Linked DNA regions of Stegostoma tigrinum. The protein of the gene in region 2 binds, or shares a complex with, the protein of the main gene of each other region. Links are inferred from orthologs where the notes say so. Each region holds a gene or a part of one and is shown on either strand. Other genes may lie near its edges. The genes, in order: Kv channel-interacting protein 1, kcnd3 and Kv channel-interacting protein 2.

The links.
Region 1: the proteins of kcnd3 (region 2) and Kv channel-interacting protein 1 are in contact, whole or in part, in a crystal structure (PDB 2NZ0), measured with the Homo sapiens proteins. The link is inferred for Stegostoma tigrinum from reciprocal best matches to the Homo sapiens genes KCND3 and KCNIP1. Residues at the interface, in NP_001365898.1 of Homo sapiens: Ala6, Ala7, Trp8, Leu9, Pro10, Phe11, Ala12, Arg13, Ala14, Ala15, Ala16, Ile17, Gly18, Trp19, Pro21, Val22, Pro26, Met27, Pro28, Leu29, Ala30, Pro31, Lys34, Lys36, Arg37, Asp39, Trp54; in NP_001030009.1 of Homo sapiens: Leu67, Arg69, Gly70, Phe71, Glu74, Val80, Phe85, Ile88, Tyr89, Phe92, Phe93, Tyr101, Leu105, Phe109, Phe122, Ala125, Leu126, Leu129, Leu130, Leu138, Trp140, Thr141, Leu144, Tyr145, Ile161, Val162, Ile165, Tyr166, Met168, Met169.
Region 3: the proteins of kcnd3 (region 2) and Kv channel-interacting protein 2 are in contact, whole or in part, in a cryo-EM structure (PDB 7W6S), measured with the Homo sapiens proteins. The link is inferred for Stegostoma tigrinum from reciprocal best matches to the Homo sapiens genes KCND3 and KCNIP2. Residues at the interface, in NP_001365898.1 of Homo sapiens: Val5, Ala7, Trp8, Leu9, Phe11, Ala12, Arg13, Ala14, Ala15, Ala16, Ile17, Gly18, Trp19, Met20, Pro21, Val22, Ala23, Asn24, Cys25, Pro26, Met27, Pro28, Leu29, Ala30, Pro31, Asp33, Trp54, Arg60; in NP_775283.1 of Homo sapiens: Arg112, Gly113, Phe114, Asn116, Glu117, Cys118, Val123, Phe128, Ile131, Tyr132, Gln134, Phe135, Phe136, Tyr144, Leu148, Phe152, Phe165, Leu169, Ile172, Leu173, Arg180, Trp183, Ala184, Leu187, Tyr188, Met201, Met205, Ile208, Met211, His228.

The regions. Positions count from the first base shown.
Region 1 is NC_081366.1:63,377,006-63,384,577, reverse strand, and holds the start of Kv channel-interacting protein 1, read left to right. Parts: upstream 1-4,483; 5' UTR 4,484-5,331; coding exon 5,332-5,434; intron 5,435-7,572. UniProt on the Homo sapiens protein: Regulatory subunit of Kv4/D (Shal)-type voltage-gated rapidly inactivating A-type potassium channels. Regulates channel density, inactivation kinetics and rate of recovery from inactivation in a calcium-dependent and isoform-specific manner.
Region 2 is NC_081374.1:6,113,845-6,121,465, reverse strand, and holds the start of kcnd3 (potassium voltage-gated channel subfamily D member 3), read left to right. Parts: upstream 1-4,538; 5' UTR 4,539-4,994; intron 4,995-5,820; exon of another isoform or gene 5,821-5,935; 5' UTR 5,936-5,995; coding exon 5,996-7,107; intron 7,108-7,621. UniProt on the Homo sapiens protein: Pore-forming (alpha) subunit of voltage-gated A-type potassium channels that mediates transmembrane potassium transport in excitable membranes, in brain and heart. In cardiomyocytes, may generate the transient outward potassium current I(To).
Region 3 is NC_081373.1:13,470,099-13,477,619, reverse strand, and holds the start of Kv channel-interacting protein 2, read left to right. Parts: upstream 1-4,428; 5' UTR 4,429-4,446; exon of another isoform or gene 4,447-4,904; 5' UTR 4,905-4,923; coding exon 4,924-5,041; intron 5,042-7,521. UniProt on the Homo sapiens protein: Regulatory subunit of Kv4/D (Shal)-type voltage-gated rapidly inactivating A-type potassium channels. Modulates channel density, inactivation kinetics and rate of recovery from inactivation in a calcium-dependent and isoform-specific manner.

The DNA.
Region 1 (7,572 bases), on a different chromosome or scaffold from region 2:
GAGAAATGCAATTGCTTCGCCACTTGCGAAGATCTTTGCATCCTCGCTCTCCACTGGAGTCGTACCTGAGGACTGGAGAGAGGCAAATGTAATTCCTCTCTTCAAGAAAGGAAATAGGGAAATCCCCGGCAATTATAGACCGGTAAGTCTCACGTCTGTCGTCTGCAAGGTGTTAGAATGGATTCTGAGGGATAAGATTTATGACCATCTGGAAGAGCATGGCTTGATCAAATACAGTCAACACGGCTTTGTGAGGGGTAGGTCATGCCTTACAAACCTTATCGAGTTTTTTGAGGATGTGACTAGTAAGGTTGATGAGGGTCGAGCTGTGGATGTGGTGTATATGGACTTCAGTAAGGCATTTGATAAGGTTCCCCATGGAAGGCTCATTCAGAAGGTCAGGAGGAATGGGATACAGGGGAACTTAGCTGCTTGGATACAGAATTGGCTGGCCAACAGAAGACAGCGTGTGGTAGTAGAAGGAAAATATTCTGCCTGGAAGTCAGTGGTGAGTGGGGTTCCACAGGGCTCTGTCCTTGGGCCTCTACTGTTTGTAATTTTTATTAATGACTTGGACGAGGGAATTGAAGGATGGGTCAGCAAGTTTGCAGACGACACAAAGGTCGGAGGTGTCGTTGACAGTGTAGAGGGCTGTTGTAGGCTGCAGCGGGACATTGACAGGATGCAGAGATGGGCTGAGAGGTGGCAGATGGAGTTCAACCTGGATAAATGCGAGGTGATGCATTTTGGAAGGTCGAATTTGAAAGCTGAGTACAGGATTAAGGATAGGATTCTTGGCAGCGTGGAGGAACAGAGGGATCTTGGTGTGCAGATACATAGATCCCTTAAAATGGCCACCCAAGTGGACAGGGTTGTTAAGAAAGCATATGGTGTTTTGGCTTTCATTAACAGGGGGATTGAGTTTAAGAGTCGTGAGATCTTGTTGCAGCTCTATAAAACTTTGGTTAGACCGCACTTGGAATACTGCGTCCAGTTCTGGGCGCCCTATTATAGGAAAGATGTGGATGCTTTGGAGAGGGTTCAGAGGAGGTTTACCAGGATGCTGCCTGGACTGGAGGGCTTATCTTATGAAGAGAGGTTGACTGAGCTCGGTCTCTTTTCATTGGAGAAAAGGAGGAGGAGAGGGGACCTAATTGAGGTATACAAGATAATGAGAGGCATAGATAGAGTCGATAGCCAGAGACTATTTCCCAGGGCAGAAATGGCTAGCACGAGGGGTCATAGTTTTAAGCTGGTTGGTGGAAAGTATAGAGGGGATGTCAGAGGCAGGTTCTTTACGCAGAGAGTTGTGAGAGCATGGAATGCGTTGCCAGCAGCAGTTGTGGAAGCAAGGTCATTGGGGTCATTTAAGAGACTGCTGGACATGTATATGGTCACAGAAATTTGAGGGTGCATCCATGAGGATCAATGGTCGGCACAACATTGTGGGCTGAAGGGCCTGTTCTGTGCTGTACTGTTCTATGTTCTATGTTCTATGTAACTGTACTGCTCCCATTCTCTGGCCATAAAGATTCATCAAAGAAAGTGCTAAACAAGGATGTGGAACATCCTGTTCCCATGACAACTCGACTTTAAAGCAGCAGTGGTTTTCCAGTACAATGAACCTGAGTTATTGATGACGATTTCATTCTGTGTAGTAGTGTTCAGTAAGTATAGAACTGACAGCATCCATTGAAGTCAGAGCTGTCATTGACTGTTTGTGAAGACACTACAATGGAGTTTCCTCCACTACCATCCACCCAAACTCTGCAGATGTGACTGCGAGTGGCTTTGGACAAAGTGATTGTCAGCCTCTTACTTAATCTTGTTGTGTGGCATTGGGAAACCAAAAAAGGCTGTTCTCAATATTAGTGCCCCATTCAGGTCAAAGAGGGTCAGTGTTGCAGTTCAAATGTGTATTAAATAGCAATCGCAAAATGCACAGTTTTAGCGGGTGGACATTTGAGCTGTCTAGTGATTGGAAAACCTGCCAGTAGAGGATTTGATTCTTCCTGTGGTCAATGCCCTTTCTCCACACTTCCTGAACACTGAGGGGAAAAAAGAGTACTTTTTTTGATGTTGATAGGGGATATGGCAGGCACTATCCAGACATGCAATTATTGTCCAACCCTCTCGATATGGGGTGGTGAGCTGCCTTCTTGAACCACTGTAGCTTTTGTGATAAATTCACTACACTGTTATGAAGGGAGCTCCAGGATTTTGACCCAGTAACAGTGAAGCCTAATTTGATGCTGTAAAATGCTTCCACTTTTGATCATTTTGTCGGACTGTAGCTGTTTGATACAACTGAATGGCTTGCCAGGCCAATTTGGAGGACATTTGAGACTAAAACACATCACTGTGGGTGTGGAGTCACGTGTAGGCCAGGTTGGGTAGGGATGGCAGATTTCTTTCACTAATACCTAAGATTGTGTTTTTATAACTATTGGCAGTGGTTACAGGGTCACCATGAGGCTATCTGCTATGATAGAATTCAGCCCATATCCCTGACATATTAGCCTGGAGCACTTGATTACCAGTCCAGTGACATCACTACTGTGCCACCACCTTCTGCAAGCATTGCTACCCATTATATAAATGATCCACTACATAACATATCCCACTTTGCATCACATCCTACTATACAACCCACACTTATACAACTCACCTATAATGCAACCCACCCATTATACAACCCACCCATTATATAACACACGTATTATACAATCTAACCATTAATGAATACACCTACAATACTACACATCTATTATACAGCCCACTCGCTGTACAACCCACCTATTATACAAGCTACACATCATACAATCCACCCATTATGCAACACACCTACTATGCCACCCATCTATTATTCCAACCACTTAGTATACAACCAACAAATTGTACAACCCATGTTTTATATAACACATCTATTATACCACCCATCTATGATACAATGCACTCATTACATAACCCACCCTCTACATAAGCCACCCACTACGTAACCCATCCACCAGCTCAATCAGTAGCTTTTGGTGATGGACATTGTAATCTCCCATCCAAAGTACATTCTGAACCCTTCCCACCCGCAGGGTTTCCTCCAAGTGTTGTTCAACATGAAGGAGTACTAACTCATCAGCTGATAGAGGATGGAGTGTGGTAATCAGCTGGAGGTTTCCTTGCTAATATTTAACCTTATGCCATGAGACTTCACGGGGTCCTGAGTCAATACTGTGGATTCCCAGAGCATCTTCCTCCAACTGTATATCACAGTGCTGCCACCTCTGCTGGATCTGTCCTAATGGTGAGGGAGGGTAGTGATGATGGTGCCTGGGATATTGTCTGTAAGATATACAACCAAGCCATTATATCACTCACCTAGTATGACTTAGCCATTGTATCACCCACACAACATACCACCACCCAAAAAATAAACCACCTAGTACACAAAATTTTGTGTTGCCGTAGTCTGACCAGACTATATGGCTTCTTTCTCATTTGAGAGAGTTGATTAATGGTGATTTAACTGAGGGCTACCATACCTCAGATGATGAGAGAAGTTGAGAAGAGCTTTCCATTGCTTTCCAACGAAATATCCAGTGAACTGAACTAAATCAACCCCCTTTATACCTTGTAACCACTCACCCAGTTTACCACTCTCACATTTTACAACCCAACCTACAATACAAATCTCACACCTACACTGGTTAGCCCTGATGCTTCACATTGCCAGGGACCCAGGAGCGATTCCAGCCTTGGGCAACTGTCTATGTGAAGTGTACATGTTCTCCCCATGTCTGCGTGAGTTTCCTCTGGGTGCTCTGGTTTGCTCCCACCATCTAAAGATATGGGGGTTAGGTGGATTGACAATGCTAAATTGGTTCATAGTGTCCAGGAATGTGTAGGCTAGGTAGATTGACCATAGCAAAAGCAAGATTATGGAAATAGAGTGGGGGGAGTGTCTGAGTGGGATGCTGTTCAGGAGGTCACTGCAGATTTGATGGGCTGAATGGCTTCTGTCTACACTGTAGGGATTCTTTGATTCTCAGATTCCACAACCTATCCATTATACCCATTCATCGCACTTTCGCTAATTACGCAGCCATCGGTTAAACATCTGTGCATTATACATGGCCTGTAATACATTCACTCTTGAAACACCTACCTGTGAAGCACTCATGCCTATTGCACACTCATACGTTGTACACTGTGCACTGCACACTCGTATGGTACACGCCCATTTGTTATGCATTAATAGATTACACACACCTGTAACACCCTCAATTCTACAGATCTACTTATTCACCACCAGTACACAACCAGCCATGATGCATCTGCCTCTTTACACTTCCCTGTGATACACGAGTCTGCAAGATTATTGTTAGTTACACATCTGCCAATTTTGAATACGTAGGGAGAGGTGTCTCTGGAAATGGGCGGCAAGGTGGTTCAGTGGTTCGCGCTGCTGCCTCGTAGCGCCAGAGCTCACGTTCGATTCCACCCTCAGGTGACTGGCTGTATGGAGTTTGCACGTTCTCCCAGTATCTGTGCCGGTTTCCTCCAGATACTCTGGTTTTCTTCCATCATTCAAGGATGTGTGGATTAGTCTGGGAAATGTGGGGTTACAGGGTAGGGTGGTGGACCTGGATGGGGTGCGCTTCGGAGGGTTAGTGTGGTCTCGATGTGAGTTTGCTCGCTGAGCTGGAAGGTTGGTTTTCAAACGTTTCGTCACCATTCTAGGTAACATCATCAGTGAGCCTCCGACGAAGCGCTGGTGTTTTGTTCCGCTTTCTATTTATCTGTTTAGGTTAGTGTGGTCTTAATGAGCCGAATGGCCTGCTTCCACCTGTAGGGTTTCTAGGATTCAAACACTAGATGTGAAATTGGGGAAAATAACAGTATCGTGTCCGCTGTGTAATTTTTCACCAGTGTTACATTGAGTTCCGAATGAGATGTTGACATTAGTAATCTGGTCCACTCCCCAGTCCCGTGGGTCTATCACTGCCTGTGAAAGGTCTGTTTGGTATGCGTTGGTAGAGAACACAGCCTTTGGTGGTGACTACTGAGAGCTGGTGAAACACGAGAGTGCGGACAGCTACAGACAACGTTTGTTTCCGCTTCGATCTGGCGGCTGCGTCAGTCAATGTAGCTCTGTGACAGCCCACAGTGTTCAGCTGAGGGAATTGAAGTAGCCTTGAACTCACGTTGGAGGAATAACAGTGCAAAGCATTCGCAATCAATCTCACCAACACGTGTGTGTGTGTGCAAATGTGGAAGTAGCTCCAGGCGCCTGATTTTTCCGAACACACTGTGGGTCCAGCACGCCTTCACAGCTGAATGCAAAAAGGAACTGAGTACAAGAGAACGAGAAAGACATTCAGAATGGGAGCAGTGATGGGTACGTTATCCCTGCCAACAAAACAGAGGAGACATTCAAGAGGTAAGGTGCTGGAAGCAGCCACAGCCTGTGATTTGCTTCACGTCTTCATTCTCTCTGAGCGAAGGCTTGTACACTGAAGCCTGGTTTAAAGCAGGCAATCGCCCGGAATAGACGTGTGTTTCTACAGCGATAATACCTTTTGCTTGATTTCAAGTTCATTTGAAATCTTGTCGCAGCTGCAGGAATGGTAGGGAGTGTGAGCTGGCCCTTGTGCTCTTCGTACTCAAGCTGGTGTTGCAGGATGGGGCGTATCTGAAATAATTGCAGGAGGTACATAGCAATATTACTGAAACCGAACCGGAAATGTATCCGATAATAAACTAAAACTTACAAAGTGATGTACTGAAACGTAACGATTAATAGAATGAAACTTTCTGCTAACATTGTGAACACAGTCTCAGCAAGATAGAGTAAGGAATACAGTAATATAGTAGGATAACAGAAATTGCTGGAAAATCTCAACAGGTCTGCCAGTGACTTATTCAGAAATGGACAGTTATATATAGTGTCACTTATCAATAATATAATGTAATAAAATTGAAAAACAGTGTTACTTACCCAGTAGTATAGCTTCCCATTAATTTAGTGTAATCATTTCATAACGTAGTGCAACAAAACCAGCAACATTTACTTACTCCATAATATAGTGTTACAAACCTAGTAATATATAGAAAATACTCATTAACATAATGGAACACACAAAGGAATATAGTGAAATATAGTAGGATCATAGAGATGTACAGTACAGAAACAGACCTTTTGCTTTAACTCATTCATGCTGACCAGATATCCCAAATTAATCCAGTCCTATTTGCCAGTATTTGGCCCATATCCCTCTAAACCCTTCCTATTCATATACCCATCCAGATGCCTTTAAAATGTTGTAATTATGCCTGCCTCCACCACCTTCTTTGATGGCTCAATCCATTCATGCTCCACCCGCTGTGTGAAAAGTTACCCCTTTACTCCCTTTTTAATCCTTCCCCTCTCACCTTGATCCTTTGCTCTCTAGTTTTGGACTTCCTTACCCTGGGGAAAAGGCCTTGGCAGTTCACCCTATCCATGCCCCTTGTGATTTTGGAAATTTCTATAAGGCCATCCCCCAGCTTCTGATGCTCTGGGGAAAATAGCCCCAGCCTATTCAACCTCTCCCTATAGCTCAAACCCTCCAACCTTGGCAATGTCCTTGTAAATATTTTCTGAACCATTTCAAGTTTCACAATATCTTTGCTATAGCAGGGAGCCTAGAACTGAATGCAGTATTCCGACAGTGGCCCAACCAATGTCCTAGACAGCTGCAACATGACCTCCCAACTCCTATACTCAACACACTAACCAGTAAAGACAATCATACCAAACATCATCGTCACCACACTGTCAACCTGCGACCCCAGTTTCAATGAACTATCAACCTGCAACCTGTATGTTCGGCAAAACTCTCCAGGACTTTACCATTAAGTGTGCAAGTCCTGGCTTGCCAAAATGCAGCACTTCACATTTATCTAAATTAAACTCCATCTGCCGCTCCTCGGCCTATTTGCTCAACTGATCAAGGTCCTGTTGTACTCTAAGGTAACCACTATCTGCTGCACCACCAATTTTCGTATCATCTGCAAATTTATTAACTGCACCTCCAATGTTCACATCCAAATCATTTATATAAATGACAAAAAGCTATGCACTCAGCATCAATCCTTGCTGTGCACAGCTGGCCACAGGCTTCCAACCTGAAAAGCTACCCTCTACCATCACCCTCTGTCTCCTACCTTCAAGCCAATTTTGTATCCAAAATGGCTGGCTCATCCTGTATTCTCTGTGATCTAACCTGGCTAAACTGCCTACCGTGTGGAACCTTGTTGAATGCCTTAATGATGTCCATGCAGTCATCGTCCACTACTCTGCCTTCGTCTGTCTCCTTTGTCACTTCAAAAAACTCAATGAAGTTAGTGAAACACAATTTCCTACACACAAAGCCATGTTAACTATCCCTAATCAGTCCTTGCCTTTCCAAATACATGTAAATGCTGCCCCTCAGAATACCCTTCAGTGATGTGTGAACCACTGATGCCAGGTTCAGTGGTCTGTAATTCCCTGGTTTTCCTTTCCACCTTTTCTTATATAATGCCACAATGTAAGCT
Region 2 (7,621 bases):
TATTATGAGGACAATTTGCATTGACTGAGTCACATTTCCTTGGGTATAAAATATTAAGAGGCAATCTAAATGAGGTGTTTAGGATGAGTAAATGTTTTGAAGTGTAGATGGAGAGAAATTATTTCTCTGCCAGGGCAGAACAAGGAGGCCTAATCATAAAAATTAAAGTCAGGCCTTTCATCAGTAGCTTCCAGAAATGCTGTTCTCCCCACAAGAGTGAGTCAAAATCAACAACTCTTCTCTTTAAATACTATGACATGGGGGATCAATTTAAAATGTTAGAACAGAGTTTGGGAGATTTCTTGGACAATGACTTTAAGGATGACAGAACCAAGGCAGCTTAAGAACATTAACATGCATCTAAGCCACGATCTAACTAAATGGGCCAAATAGTGTTCTTCTGTTCCTATGTGCCACATGCAGGAGAATATTTCAGTGGAACATTGAGCAATTAACAATGACACTTGCTCACTCAATCCCAGGGGGCTTCAATGATCTATCACCTGTTTGGAGACCACCTTCTGATGGTAACAATGAATCATATTATTCCAGGTTGTAGCAGTGAGATGGTGAAACTATCCCACCAGGACTCCCCAAATCAATCCTATGTCATACCCTTTCCCTGATACCTCAACTGCTCCAAGTGAAACAAAAATAGAAATTGTTGGTGAAACTCAGCAGGTCTGACAGCATTTGTGGGAAGAAAGCAGAGTCAACATTTTGAGTCTACTGACCCTTCATCAATGAATCCTAGTCAACCCTGTCACTGTTACCGTAATATATGAAACATTTAGAGCAATGGTGGGAATTTTGTAATTCCCTATGAGTAATACATAGCTACAGCAGCATTATCTCAGCCTTCTGAATAGAGATGAGCTGGGCCTTGGGTACTTTGGTTAGCTCAATTGTCTAATTGGCAGGTTTACAATACAGTGTGATACCAACATTGTACTGGCTGAGGTTCCCATAAAGGAGCTTCCCTCTCAACTTCTCTCTTTATCTGAGGTGTGTGACTCTTAGGTTAAGTGGTAACCAGCTGTTCTACTCCCTCATGAGGAACCAGAATCTGATGATTTTATCCTTTACTGGAGTTGACCATCAACGTTTGTTAAGTTTCAATTGCCTTTTATCCTGTCACTCCTGCAAGCTATATAATATTTTCATTCCATCCCCATCATTATAAACCGCAGGCACCAACAGCCCCACCCTCACCAATTTTCTAAAGTATGTAAATTCCATGAACAGAACTCCAGTTTCTGAGACCCACTTGTTTGAGAGTATTATGAACAAGGGGAAGGCTCACTGTTGGACCCAGTTCCAATTCACAGTCGATAAGGGAAGCTTGCCTTAATCCCTGCACTCTGTTTAATGGCCACCTATCAATTCATTCCACTAGCTGATTGCTGAATCAATGTTCCCTGATTTTCATCATGGGTCTGTTACACAGCACTTTATCAAAGATGTATTCAAAGTCCATTATTATAAAGGAAGCAAGAGTTTCTTGAACTTTCTTTAAGAGTTGCTGGGGGCTGATTTTCAGCAGCACATTTCAGGAATTGCCAGTCTTCAGAGTTGGAGCCTTTGGCTGAATCACTGGCTTCGCCCCATTTAACATAAAACAATGCCTTGCTGAAGGAGTCAAAGCCTGCAGTAAGACTGATCATTTGTAGGCATTTTCTAACCAATTTGTTCAGTCATGTTACAACACCTCTGGGGAAGGCTGACACTAAAACATAGAACTCCTGGCCAGGAGATAGGAGCATTACCATTACTCCACAGAGTCCCTCTTTATCTATTCACTAGAGCTACCTGTTTTACATAGATACTGTCCATACTCTAAGAATCTGATGACAGTGACCATTAGTTTTGCAAAAAACAAAGTGTGAAGCAACTTTCAGTATGGTCTGTATGGAGGGAGTCATCGCCTGGGGTTACCTGTTACACAGTTAACACAGCACCTTGGCCATCTCATGGCCAGTCTGGAAATCAATGCTTGACCCCACCACTGCCTGATCCCAGCCCAGACACCGTTCCCCTATCACCAAATCACTGATCGCTGGGGCTGCGTAGTTAAAGTGAAGAGAATCTTGAACATAAAATGTTTAATTCAAAATGCAATTGGTATTCATGCATTTGAACAGGTTGAATAATGAGTTATTACATTGAAACTTAAACTTCTAATAAGACCGTATGCAAATTGCACTAGATTCTAAAATACTTAAAAGAGAAGCATTTTACATTAATGTTGCATCACTACATGGGCTCTGAAAGTTACCAAGTTCATTTACATCCCCAAATCATTCTTTCCCAGATAGAGTCATCCCATGCGGAAATGGAGCTGTCAGTCCAAACAGTCCATGCCAACGATAATCCCAAATTTGAGGTTAATTTTCCAGATTAGTGGGCCAGCACATTTCCATACTCTCACTGATTTGTCATGCAAATGGTAATAGTTCATCAGAACCAAAGGGTATTTGCAAACAGTCTCTCCCTTCAATGTTCAGGTTTCAACACATACAATTATCAGCCAATATAAATAATCGGTTGTGAACAATTCTTTGGCCATCTTTAAAATTTGCTCTCCCAGAAATAGGAGTTCATTCAGCCCTTCGAGTCTGCTCTGCTGTTCAATATGAACATGGCTGATCATCTAACTCAGCCCCCTGTTTGCGCTTTCATCCCATAATCTTTGATCCCTTTAGCCCTAAGCACAATATCTAAATCCTTGAAAACATTCAATGTTTTGGCCTCAACCACTTTCTGTGGCAAAGAATTCCACAGGCTCCGCACTCTCCGAGTGAAGAAATTCCTCCTCATCTCAATCTTACCTGGCCCACCCCATATACTTAGGCTGTGACCCCTCGTTCTGGATATCCTGGTCATCAATAACATCCCTCCAGCACTAAACCTGTCTCGTGTCAGAAGCAACTTTCCATGAGATCCTTCCTCAGAGTTCTAAATCCAGTGGATGAAGCTCTAAGCGATCCAGTCTCCCTGTACGTTTCAATCTTTTAACAAATCAGTATCTCCTTTCCATTCACTTCCAATCGATTGCCTGCTTGTTCATGAGTTTGGAAACCACAGGGAAGTTTGAAAAATGAGAAGGTGAGGTAGAACATCACAGAGAAAGCGGGCTGACTAAGTTCGGGATTGTCATTTAGCATTGGGGAGAGCTCGGCTGCAGTTTTTGAATGGAGGCTGCGCCATCTAGCTATGTGAAAGGAACCACTCACAACCCATTCGTCACAATAAAAAAAAGTTAGTTAACTCAACTCAGCAACACATTATAGTCCCTGTAGCACCTGCCAAACAAAATCAAAATAGCCCGCTTTTGGAACGACTCCAGCCCGGCCGCTAATGTTCAGCATTTGATATTGACAAGACACGGAAAGAGAAAGGGAAACACTGAGATCTCTAAACAGCTGATTGTGGGGAGTTTTTTCTGCGCTGCAACCCGTCCCCTGCTCCCAACACTTTGCCAATTTATTTCAGATTTTCAAAATTCCTCTTAGGCTTAATCCCCAGGTTTAATCGTCCGTTATGTGTCGTTTTGCTTTGCCCTAGGAAAGTTTTTTTTTCTTACGCTACTTAGGACAACATTAAACACACACACCACAGCTGTAGGAAAACTGAACTGATGATTCTGGAAGCAGTGTGTCAAGAGAGAACTCAGTGGTGAAGTTTCCTGTGCCCTCTATGATACCTGCTTGAGTTTTTTTATTGCAATCCCCCCCCCCCCCCCGACACAGGCCAGAAACATTGCACCTCACAAATTAATACGTGCCCACCCCACTTCACACGCACGCATAGTGGTTGGAGGCCTGGATGGTCTCTGAGGGACAGTGTTCGCAGTCAATAGCACAATGGGGAGAGGTCCTGCACTGGGTCGGACTGGAGGTAACGACAGCGAGCCGCTGTGTATTTAACCCAGCATCTCCCAGCGCGGACAGCAACGCTTTCTTTCTACAAGTGTGAGACACGTGCCAATAAATAGTTTGCCCGCATGGAGTGCCTTCAGAAACTGGTGGCGGTCTTTCGCCTCTGAATCGTTCTGGGGGCCAATTTAGTGCGCCCCCCCCCCACCACCCCAGACCCATGCAAACCTCCCATGAGCAGCACCCAGAAATGGCCAGCCAGCTGCGTCATGGCTAACTGGGAGTCCCCGGACCCAGTGAAGGTCAGTTTAAACCTCTGTCTCTGCTCCCCCACCTCCACCCCCTCCCAACTTTCCATATTCCCCGGGGCGCCGTGCTGTTGCATCTTCCCACTGAACCTTGCTTTATTTGAGAGTTAGCCCATGAGCAAGCCTAGCGTCTCTAGGTTCCTCTGGAGACAATACGACGTGCAGGGGGTGGGGGTGTTGGCGCGGGGGTGGGGGGGGGGTGTGCACGGGATTGATTCTACGCCCAGCAATCAGGTAACATGTTGTGCTTTGTAAAGTCTGGATCTCTCCCCCGCCCTCTCTCTCTGTCTCTGTCATAGTACCTCTTCAGGTTCAGAAACACCGCCAGTGCCCACAGACTGTGTGTGTGTGTGTGTGTGTGTGTGTGTGTGTGAGAGAGAGAGAGAGAGAGAGCGAGAGCACTGTTCATCATCATCTGAGCTGAGACATGCCATCACCAACCCGACCCGCCTATTGTACCCACTTCCATTTATAGTAGGCAGACACAGAGACGGAGAGAGACAGAGGGAAAGGCAATAAGTCAAACATATGCAAACACTAACAACAAAAGGTGAAAGCTGGTTCCCGAAGCCCTCCGAGAGAGAAGCCGGGGGGTGCATTGAGCTAAGAGCAGCCACACAGAGAGAGCCCTCAGACTTCCCAATCTCTACTCGCCTCCTTCGTTACTGCGGGATTTACCTGCCGCTTTCAGCAGGAGGCCGTTCCATTTTTGTTGTTGTTGGTGTTGTTGTTTTCGGATTCTTTCTCTCCTTTGGAATAAGAATTGTCCTGGTCAGCAGGAGCGGGGAGCCTCGCTGCTGCTGTTGCTGAGGTAAGCTGCTGGGTATCCGGACCGGGAGGGAGGGAGGGAAGTTGGGTGGTCGGGGTGGGGGGTGTGGGTATGGGGGGTGTCGGCTAGAATAAGATGCTCCTCTCCAAACTTTCTCACTTCCCTGTCACAGGGACCCTGCTGTAAGTTTAAACTTGCCTTGCGGATTTAATTCAAATGCCTAAGTAGAGCAGTTGCTACACAGCCATGTTGCCCCCTTCCCTAAGTCTGACGGGCTTTTTCTCATATTGTTGAAAGTGATTTTTTTTATTGAGAGAATGTATTTGTCTGGTTGAAAATACTCCCAGAGTCGGATATTCTCTATCACTTTCCCATTCAGTTTATTCTCTCATCAACGGGATGTCCGTCCTTCAAATACAGCAGAGCTGAGAGTGGGACAGAAAAACAGACGCCAGCCCTTCAGAGAATAGAATATCTCCCTCTCTCTCCCTTCATCTCTCTCACACTCCTACCCCCTCCCTTTCCCACTCCTCTCTCCCTCTCCCACCCACTCCCTCTCCCTCCCTCTCTTCCCTCTCTTCCCTCTCCTACTCCCTCCTTCTCCCTCCCTCTCCAACTCCACTCCCACTCCCTCCTTCTCCTACTCCCTATTCCACTCCTCCCTCTCCCACTCCCTTTCTTTCGTCCCTCTCCCTCTCCCAGTCCCTCCCTTTCCCTCCCTCTCCCTCAATACATTCCCCAGCAATAGGGATGAGAGTCACCTGCACCATTTACTGGGAACCTGTTTGCCAGCTGAGTGGGGGTCTGTAATGATTGTGGGCTGGTTTATGAATTTTTTTTATTCCAGTTTATCTACTGTTTCTACCAGGCAGGAGGACTCCTGAAACAAGTGAGAGTTGGACACAGTGACAATGCCTGAGTGAGATGTACTGGTGAACACTAGTCCCCTCTCCTGGAAACCACTCTCTGCTTTTCCCTTGCAGATGTCGCCGAGCACCCAGAGAAGGTGCTGCCCTCTGTAGCCACCCCAGTCCGGACTAGCCATGGCAGCCGGGGTCGCGGCCTGGCTGCCCTTTGCCCGGGCTGCTGCCATAGGATGGATGCCAGTGGCCAACTGCCCCATGCCCCTTGCCCCAGGAGACAAGAATAAGAAACAGGATGAACTCATCATCCTCAATGTGAGTGGCAGGCGCTTCCAAACATGGAAAAACACCCTGGAGAGATTCCCAGACACCTTACTGGGCAGCACAGAAAAGGAGTTCTTCTTCCATGAAGAAACTAAGGAATATTTCTTTGACCGGGACCCTGACATCTTCAGGAACGTGTTGAATTTTTACAGGACGGGCAAGTTGCACTACCCAAGGCATGAGTGCATCTCAGCCTATGATGAAGAGCTGGCCTTCTTTGGCATCATCCCGGAGATTATTGGAGACTGCTGTTATGAAGAGTACAAGGACCGGAAGAGGGAGAATGCTGAGAGATTGATGGATGATAGTGACTCAGAGAACAAAGCGGAGGGTAACCTTCCGTCCCGAACCTGCCGCCAGACCATGTGGAGAGCCTTTGAAAACCCTCACACCAGCACCTTAGCGTTAGTCTTCTATTATGTGACTGGCTTCTTCATTGCCGTGTCAGTGATCACCAATGTGGTGGAGACTGTGCCCTGCGGCATTGGCCCTGGCGATGACAAAGACCTGCCCTGCGGGGAGAGGTACGTGGTGGCTTTTTTCTGCCTGGACACGGCCTGCGTGATGATCTTCACGGTCGAATACCTCCTCCGGCTCTTCGCTGCCCCCAGCCGCTACCGGTTCATGAGGAGCGTGATGAGCATCATTGACGTGGTGGCCATCATGCCTTATTACATTGGCCTGGTGATGACCAACAACGAAGATGTGAGTGGAGCCTTTGTCACTCTGCGGGTGTTTCGCGTGTTCCGGATTTTCAAGTTTTCTCGCCATTCCCAAGGTCTGAGGATCCTCGGCTACACTTTGAAGAGCTGTGCCTCTGAACTCGGGTTCCTCCTCTTCTCGCTCACCATGGCCATCATCATTTTTGCTACTGTGATGTTCTATGCTGAAAAAGGGTCAACACACAGCAAGTTTACAAGTATTCCCGCCTCTTTCTGGTACACCATTGTCACCATGACAACACTGGGGTAAGTCTCAAGGTTTTTACTTTCTACACTCAACCCCACCCCCATCCCGTTATTCTGATAAAGAGGTCCCAAACTCTCCCTTTCTGTGTGCGAGGACTGGTTCGCTTGAAGACTTCAATAAAGCCATTAGCCAGAAAAGTGGATTTTTAACAAATACCGCGCCACCACCGCCCCCGCCCCCCAGACCGGCATTTGCTTTACAAAGTAATCTCAAATTAATATATGATAACATCGCCTTTATTATTTAATAGCAAAGGGCAAAGCGTTGAAAGTAGAAAAGGGATTAATTAAATATCGTTTCAGCTCCAGATTAGGCATTGAACTTTCATGATTTGACGAGCAGCCTGGACGTCTATAATTACATTCACGGAATTAACTCTGTTTAATCCCCTTTTCTAAGGAGTACCAGACATTGCCAACAGTTGCTACATTTCACACGGAGACAGAGAGGCAGCACCAGATATTAATTTTTGTCAGGCGGGGGAGGATGGGTGGGGGGGGGGGGCAGAAAGCT
Region 3 (7,521 bases), on a different chromosome or scaffold from region 2:
GCTGGTACACACTGCTGCCACCTAGTGTTGGTGGTGAAGAGAGTGAATGTTGTAGCTGGTACACACTGCTGCCACCTAGTGTTGGTGGTGAAGAGAGTAAATGTTGTAGATGGTGAATGACGTGCCAGTCAAGTGTGTAGTGTTTTAGAACATAGAACAGTACAGCACAGAACAGGCCCTTCAGCCCGTTTTCTGGATTCATGTTGTACCTCTTGAGTGTTATTGTAATCTTAGGGACAGCACTGAGCTGATTGGCATCCAACAAAGATTTTTATTTTTGATAGGTATGTTTCCAGGCACTGAATCATTTTTCCTCTGATTTCCATTGACGCTAATTTTGTTCAGGCTCCTGGATGCTACGCTTGTTCAAACACTGCCTTGATGTCAGCTTCACCTCCCCTTTGGTGTTAACAGCTTTCGTGTCCTTGCTTGGATCAGGTTAGTAATGAGGAGCTGAGCAGGTCTGTTGGGACCCACACTGAGCAGGCGAAAGTTATCCTCATACTTCATTGCCTCAGAGTTAAAAAACAACTGAGACAGTGAGAGTTTAACAGATCACAGAAACCCTTCAGTGTTCGGGGAAGGCCATCTGTCCCACTGAATCCACACTGTCCCTCCGAAGAGCATCCCACCCACCTTACCTGCATATCTTTGGACTGTGGTAGGAAATTGGAACAAACCCACACAGACCCAGGGAGAATGTGCAAACTGTACACAGACAGTTGCCTGAGGGTGGCGTTGAACCTAGGTCCTTAGCGCTGTGAAGTAGCAATGCTAATCACTGAGCCACCATGCCACTCCAATCCACCCCCTGTTTCGGGCCATTCATCCCCATGGAAGATACTGAATTTTTTACAGCCTGTAATTTGTGAAGTGTAGCCACTGTTGTCATGGGGGAAATGCAGCAGCCAAATTATGCACAGCAAGATCCCACAATCCTAAGTAATCCATTTCCACAGTGATGACATGTTGAGGAGCGTATACTGACTCGATCCTCTGCTCTTCCTTATAGTAGTGCTGTGGGTCATTTGAATCCACCTGAAAGGGACAGAGGAGCAGCTTGTTTCAGTTATACTGATGAAAATGGCCTCTCTAGTGGTGCGTCTCTCACATAACGCAGCCAGCTCCCTCAAACCACTGGAGTGGGTCTTCTCCCCACAACTCTGTCTTAGAATGCTGCTACTGGGCCCAACATAGGGCAGGACATTTGGGCTGATGTGATTTTCTAGTACAGTCAGAGCACTCCAAGACCAAACAGAATCCCAGCCTCTCGGTGATAGCAAGAACTGCAGATGGTGGAGGCTTCATCATGATTGCTGTAGGGTGTAAACTCGACTCTCCTGCTCCCCTGATCTGCTGCATTCCTCCAGCTCCACGCTGTGTTGACTCAGAACCCAAGTCTTCTTTGGAGCCAAAATAACAACATTACCAGCTGGCATTCTCCATCCAACGACACCTCTGCGATCCCAAGGCTGCGGAGGTAAAAAATGAGATTTCCCCAGATATGTCAATATTGATATCACCAGATGGCATTGCCAGTGTGCTCTCCTGAAAGTTAAACAGCTGCTCCTCATTCACAGCAGACAGCCATTGACTGACAACTCAGGAAGGATATATAAAAAAGGGGAGGCTATTCAGCTCCCCCCCCCAAGCCTGTTCTGCTATTCAACTACATTGGCACCTTCATTCTAAACACACATCTTAACTGATTAACTGAGCTGACATCTTCCACTTTCTGGGGGCTGGGTGTGGGTTCCGCATTTGTGTGAAGGCATGATCCCTGAACCACTTCCAAGGGCCTGACTCTCATCTTAAGATAATATCCGTTTCTTTGAGACTCTCCAACCAACACTTAAAGTTTCCTTCCAGCCGGGCTATCGGTTCCTTTCCAAATCAGGCTTTACTCAAATCAAACCTGAGCCCCTTATTTTCCAGTAATTCCGAGAATCAAACTTTGTTTACATTATGACAAACATTGAGGATGCTGAGGACATGAATGGAACCGAACAGCAATTATGAAGAGAGACATATCCATTTTTAATCCTTGTACACTCCTCCCTGGCCCAGGGGTGCTTGTTGAGGACAGTGTAGAGGAAGCTTTACTCTGTATTTAACCTCATGCTGTCCCTGTCCTGGGAGTGTTTGATGAGGATACTGTAGAGGGATCTTTAACCCCATGCTAAGCCTATTGCTGGGAGTGTTTGATGGAAACAACAAGTATAAAAGGAATTATAATTTCCCTGTGCCCTGTACTGTCTCCCATTTTAAGCAAACTATGAACCGTTTACATGTTAAAAGCTGGATCTTAAAATAAAGCATCACAAAGCTCTTCCTTTCACAAACGTTTCCTGTTGCCATGACACCGAGAGACTTATGGATAACTTGTTAGAGTCAATTGTTAGAGTCAATAAAACACGTTGGGAAGATTGAGGCTGGCATCAACACTTTATCATAGTAATATCCGCGAGCATGTGACTGTATGTGCGATATCTCTGACAGAGAGCGGTCTAACAGGATGTTTCAATATCAAGGGGGGAAGCACACTGCTAGGGACTGTAACTGTGAGAGTGAGAAAGTGAGAATTAGTATGTGAGAATGTGAATGACTGCGAGGGTGTGTGTGTGAAAACCTGGAGTTTGAGAAGATGAGTATGATTGAGTACGACACAATGTGAAAATGTCAGAGTGCAAGGATGAGAGAGTGTGTGTGTGTGTGTGTGTGTGTGCGCTCGAGAGAGAGTGCACGTGTGTGAGAATGTAAGAGAATAAGTGTGCGTGCACGCACAATTAGATGACAGAGCGGGTGAGAATGAAAATGAGTGAGTATGTCAGTGTGTGTGAGTGTGCACAAGTAGTTGAGAGTGTGTGTGAGTGTGCTTGTGAAAGTGACTGTGACATACACACGAGGCTACTCTGCGTGGGGACAGGTACAGAGTACGAAGCCAAGATGTTTTGCCTGTATAAAAATGTTTGAGTCCACTGTGAGTGCAGTTCCCAACTCTGAGCCCTGGCAGGATGTGTCAGTCCCTGGCTAAGGGCAGGTGCAGTGGGCATCTTCACACCTCGGAGAGTTTTACGACCTTACACAAAGCCATGATTGAGCACACATAGTTTATCATAAACACCAACTTCTATGCCTATTGAACCCATAGCAAAGCAGATGGTGAGATAGGGGGACAGGTGACCCATTTCTTTTTATTCATTCACAGGATGAGGGCATCACTGGCAAGCCAGCATTTATTCCCCTTCCCCAATTACCAGAGGGCAGCTAAGAGTCAATATTGCTGTGGGTTTGGAGTCAATGCGTAGGCCAGACCAGGTAAGGATGGCAGTTTCCCCTCCCTTAAGGGCATTAGTGAACCAATAATTGGCACAATGTCATCATTAGATACTTGAATTCAAATTCCACCATCTGCTGTGGCCATCACCTCCCCTTAAATAACTTAATCAGAGAGGAAGGTTTAAAAGACCAGATCAGAGGAAGACAAAGGTGTGGAGATTTTTAGGCAGTGACTTCCAGATAGGAGAGCACACAGGCAGCTAAAGACAAGGCCACTAAAAATGAAGAATCGGAAGAGTACAGGGATTGTAGAGATTTGTAGCGCCGGAGGAGATTATACGAAAGGGGATAGGAAGAGGCCATGGAGGGATAATTTTAGGCCAAGGCCAAGGACCAGCGTCAGTCAGCGAGCTGAGGAAAGATGGTCAAATGGGGCTTGGAGTTAGGGTATGCACAGCAGAGTTGGGGAAAGCCCTTGCAAAGACTTTGCACCTTCACAGAGAAGAGAGACGTCCATAATACAGGCAGTGTCACGGATCGGAGTCAGAATGGCACAGGGCACAACAGTGAAAGGGTGGGAGGGACATACAGTGAGGCAGAAGGCATATGTTCAATATGCAAGATATCAGTACAAAGAGGCTACAAATAGTATTAAGGAACACAGATTTTTACCTGCTCATGAGTTTTGCAGTCCTTCTTCATCTGCTGTGGATAGAAGTGTCTTGCTTTTCTTCTTCTGACACTGGGAGACCCACAGTGTACCCCCATCTCTCCTTTCTTCACAGCTCCACAGCTCCAATGCCTTTGTTTTCTTCCTTACCTGGGATCTCCTCCTCTGAAGTTGCAGGTCCAAGGTTCAGTGCTGCTCCTTGCCCTTCAGTGAGCCAGACAGTGACCTACAACAAAAGCACTCACCTTTTCTCAGGAGCAAAGAGTTTTCAGCAGAGAGGCTCCCGAAATGCCAGATCCAAGTGGGCATCACTTGACTGGCAACAGTGCTCGTTTTAACTGACATTGCCAAAGGGGAAAATCTGACTCAACCACTGAGTGTTTAAAAACACAACGTGCAGGCGCAGAAAGATTTGTAAACGATGGAACCCGCCCTCTCATCTTTGACAGTTCAGTTTATCAGGTTCTCTCACTGTGTCTGTCATCCTAACTCTCTGTGTATGTTTCTCACCGTAAATCCCACAAAATCCACTGCTTCCCCGTGACTCTCCTGTGCGTGTTCCTGTCTCTGTCTCCCGCTGTGAGTCTTTTCCCCCACCTCCCTGTTTCGTTCTGTGACTCTCACTCTGTTTGTCTGTCTCTGTCTCTCTGCCTTTGTGTCTGTCGCTGAGTCACCCATTCCATCTGTGTCAACTCTGCATCTCTTACTATCTACATATCTCTCTCTCTGCCTCTGTTTTCTCACTCTCTTTGCATCGCACTCTGTGATTCTCACTGTTTATCTCTCAGTGTCTTGTAGCCCAATCTGTCTTTTCATTCTGTGTGAATGAATCATTCTGTCTCTCAGTCTGTGCCTCTTACCCTGTTAATGACTTGTGCCTTTATGTTCGTATAATTTTCCATCTCTTGTGGCTCTGCGTCCATCTCCTGCTGCCCCACGAAAAATCCCAAACCAGATGACAGAAGGCAGTCGAGATGGTTTTAAATACGGACTGGGAGTCGGAGGGATTGCAGACTGTAGGGATTGTCTTTCTGGCTGTAAGTTCTCTGAAGCTGTTGCATTTCCTGGGACTGATTGATTTCTCCAGTGAAGGTAGGAAATGGGTGGCAGACCAAAAGTGCCCCCTCATTTATTTTTGTCTGAATTTTATTGGTTAACCTAGTCTAAGGTTCTTGAAGACTCTAAATTTGTAAACGATAGCTTAATTGCTAACTCTGATGGGAGACAAACACAAAGTCTATCATGCAGTCCCTGTCTGATCAGACTGGGGCTAAAAAAACAAGTGAGGAAATTGAGGTTAATTAGTTACAGCAGAAAAAGAACTACAGCCCAATTTGAGGGATTAAAAACTGACAAATCCCCAGGCCCTAATGGCCTACATTTGAGATTTTTAAAAGAGGTCGCTGCAGAGAAAGTAGATTCACTGGCGGATTGATAGTTAGCAAACATAACACTGTTATCTAAGGAAGGGGGCTGGAGAGAAAATAGGGAACTGCAGCTATATTATCCTGACATTAGTCCTTGGGGGAAAAAATGTGTTGGAATCAATTTTACATTCATGTGCTTGTGCACTAGCTCGGGCGTATGAGGTTGGCAGTTCGTCTTCTGATGCTTCATTGCCAGCCTGAGGTGCTTCTGGTCAGTCTCAAAGAAAGGGCAGATTTAGGTTTTACTACAACAGAATTGGGAATGAATCAGCAATATTCTAAAATACACGCTTGCCATTGATTCTAACCAACCCCCAATCTATTGTGAAGAAGGTCCTGACAATGGGCTTAGAAAAGCATAGTATGTTCGTACAAAGTTTTAAGAAAGAAAGGTCAAATTTAATTAATGAATTGTATGTTTTTGAGCAAATATTTAATTGGATTAATAGAGGGAACCAGTAAATGTGGTCTCCAAAGGCATACGATATAAGGTGCCACTCAAACAATTAATACGCTACGCATGAGCTCAAGGAGTTGGGTGTGATATATTAACAAGGAAAGCAGATTGCTCAACAAAGAGTAGGGATACATGGAGCCTGTTCATGTTGGCTGATAGTGGAGTGCCAGCACGAGGGTCAGTCATGGAGCCTCAGTCAATTTCAATCTTTATTAATGGTTTGAATGGGCAGAGGGTAATGTGCCCAAACTGGCTGATGATTCAAACTAGGGGCAGTATACATTGTGGGGAGAACACAAAGACACTGCAAAGACGTGTTGACAGATTAAGCACGTGTGCAATGAGGTAATAGATGGAGTATAATTTGGAGAAATGTGAGGTTATTCACTTTGAAAAGGTGTGAAAGTTCACACATCGACACTCAGAGAGACTTGGGTATTCTAGTGCACTGGCAAAGTGCAGCATTCTCACAAACCCTTGGGAATCACTGGCCCAAGACCATCCAGAGTGGAGGAGGGGCATCCGGGAAAACATTGAGCACCTCGAGACTTGCCGTCAGGAAGAAATGGAAACTGAGCGAAAGGAGTGCACCGCCACAATACCCCACCCACTCCCTGTGAGCACCACCTGCCCCAAGTGTAACAGAGCCTGCAGTAGCTGCGTTGGTCTGTACAGTTACCTACAGACTTATCCTCATCTGTGAAGAATCACCAATAATGATGATGATTGTTGTACAAGGTATACAGACAGACAGCACACAGGCACAACATGGGGAGACAATGGCCTAGTGGTATTATCGCTGGACTGTTAATCGAGAGACGCAGATAACATTCTGGGGACCTGGGTTTTTACTCCCACCAGGGCAGTTGGTGGCATTTGAATTCAATTTAAAAAACTGGAATTAACAGTCCAACGATGACCATGAATCCATTGTCGATTGTCAGGAAAACCCCGTCTGGTTCACAAATGCTCTTTAGGAAAGGAAAATGCCATCCTTACCTGGCCTGACCTACATGTGACTCCAGACCCACAGTAGTGTGGTTGACTCTCAACTGCCCTCTGGGTAACTGAGATGGGCAATGAATACTGCCCAATCAGTGATGTCCTCATCTCATGAAAGAATAAAGGAACAAGCAATTGGGAAGGTAGATGGCATATTGGCCTTTTTTGCAAGTGGCTTGAAGTACGTGAAAGAAGTTTTGTTATAATTGTACAGGGTCTTGCTGAGCTCACAGCCGGAGTACCGTGTGATTTATTACATATTTAAGGATGAATGCACTTGCATTGGAGATGGCACAGAGATGATTCAATAGTTTGGGTGCATTTACTCAGGTGAGAAGTTGCCAGGTCACCCCTGAAGAAAGCAAGTTTATTTCTCATCAATGATAGTAAACTTTGACTTTTAATTAGTGTGAACGAGTCACTTGCAAACAGGAGGAAGAAGAAAATTGAGAAGCAAACCCTGTGGATGGGGACCACCTGCCTAATCATCCAGCTTTCCCTTCACACGTAACACGCATGTTTTGTGTGTGTGTGTGTGTGTGTGTGTGTGTGTGTGTGTGTGTGTGTGTGTGTATCTGGGGGGGAGCAGTTTTTAAATGGGTTAGAACTTTAACAAGGGATATATTCATTCAAGTCATCAGTGGCTAGGCCAGTCCTTGTTGCCCATCCCTAATTGCTAAAGATCA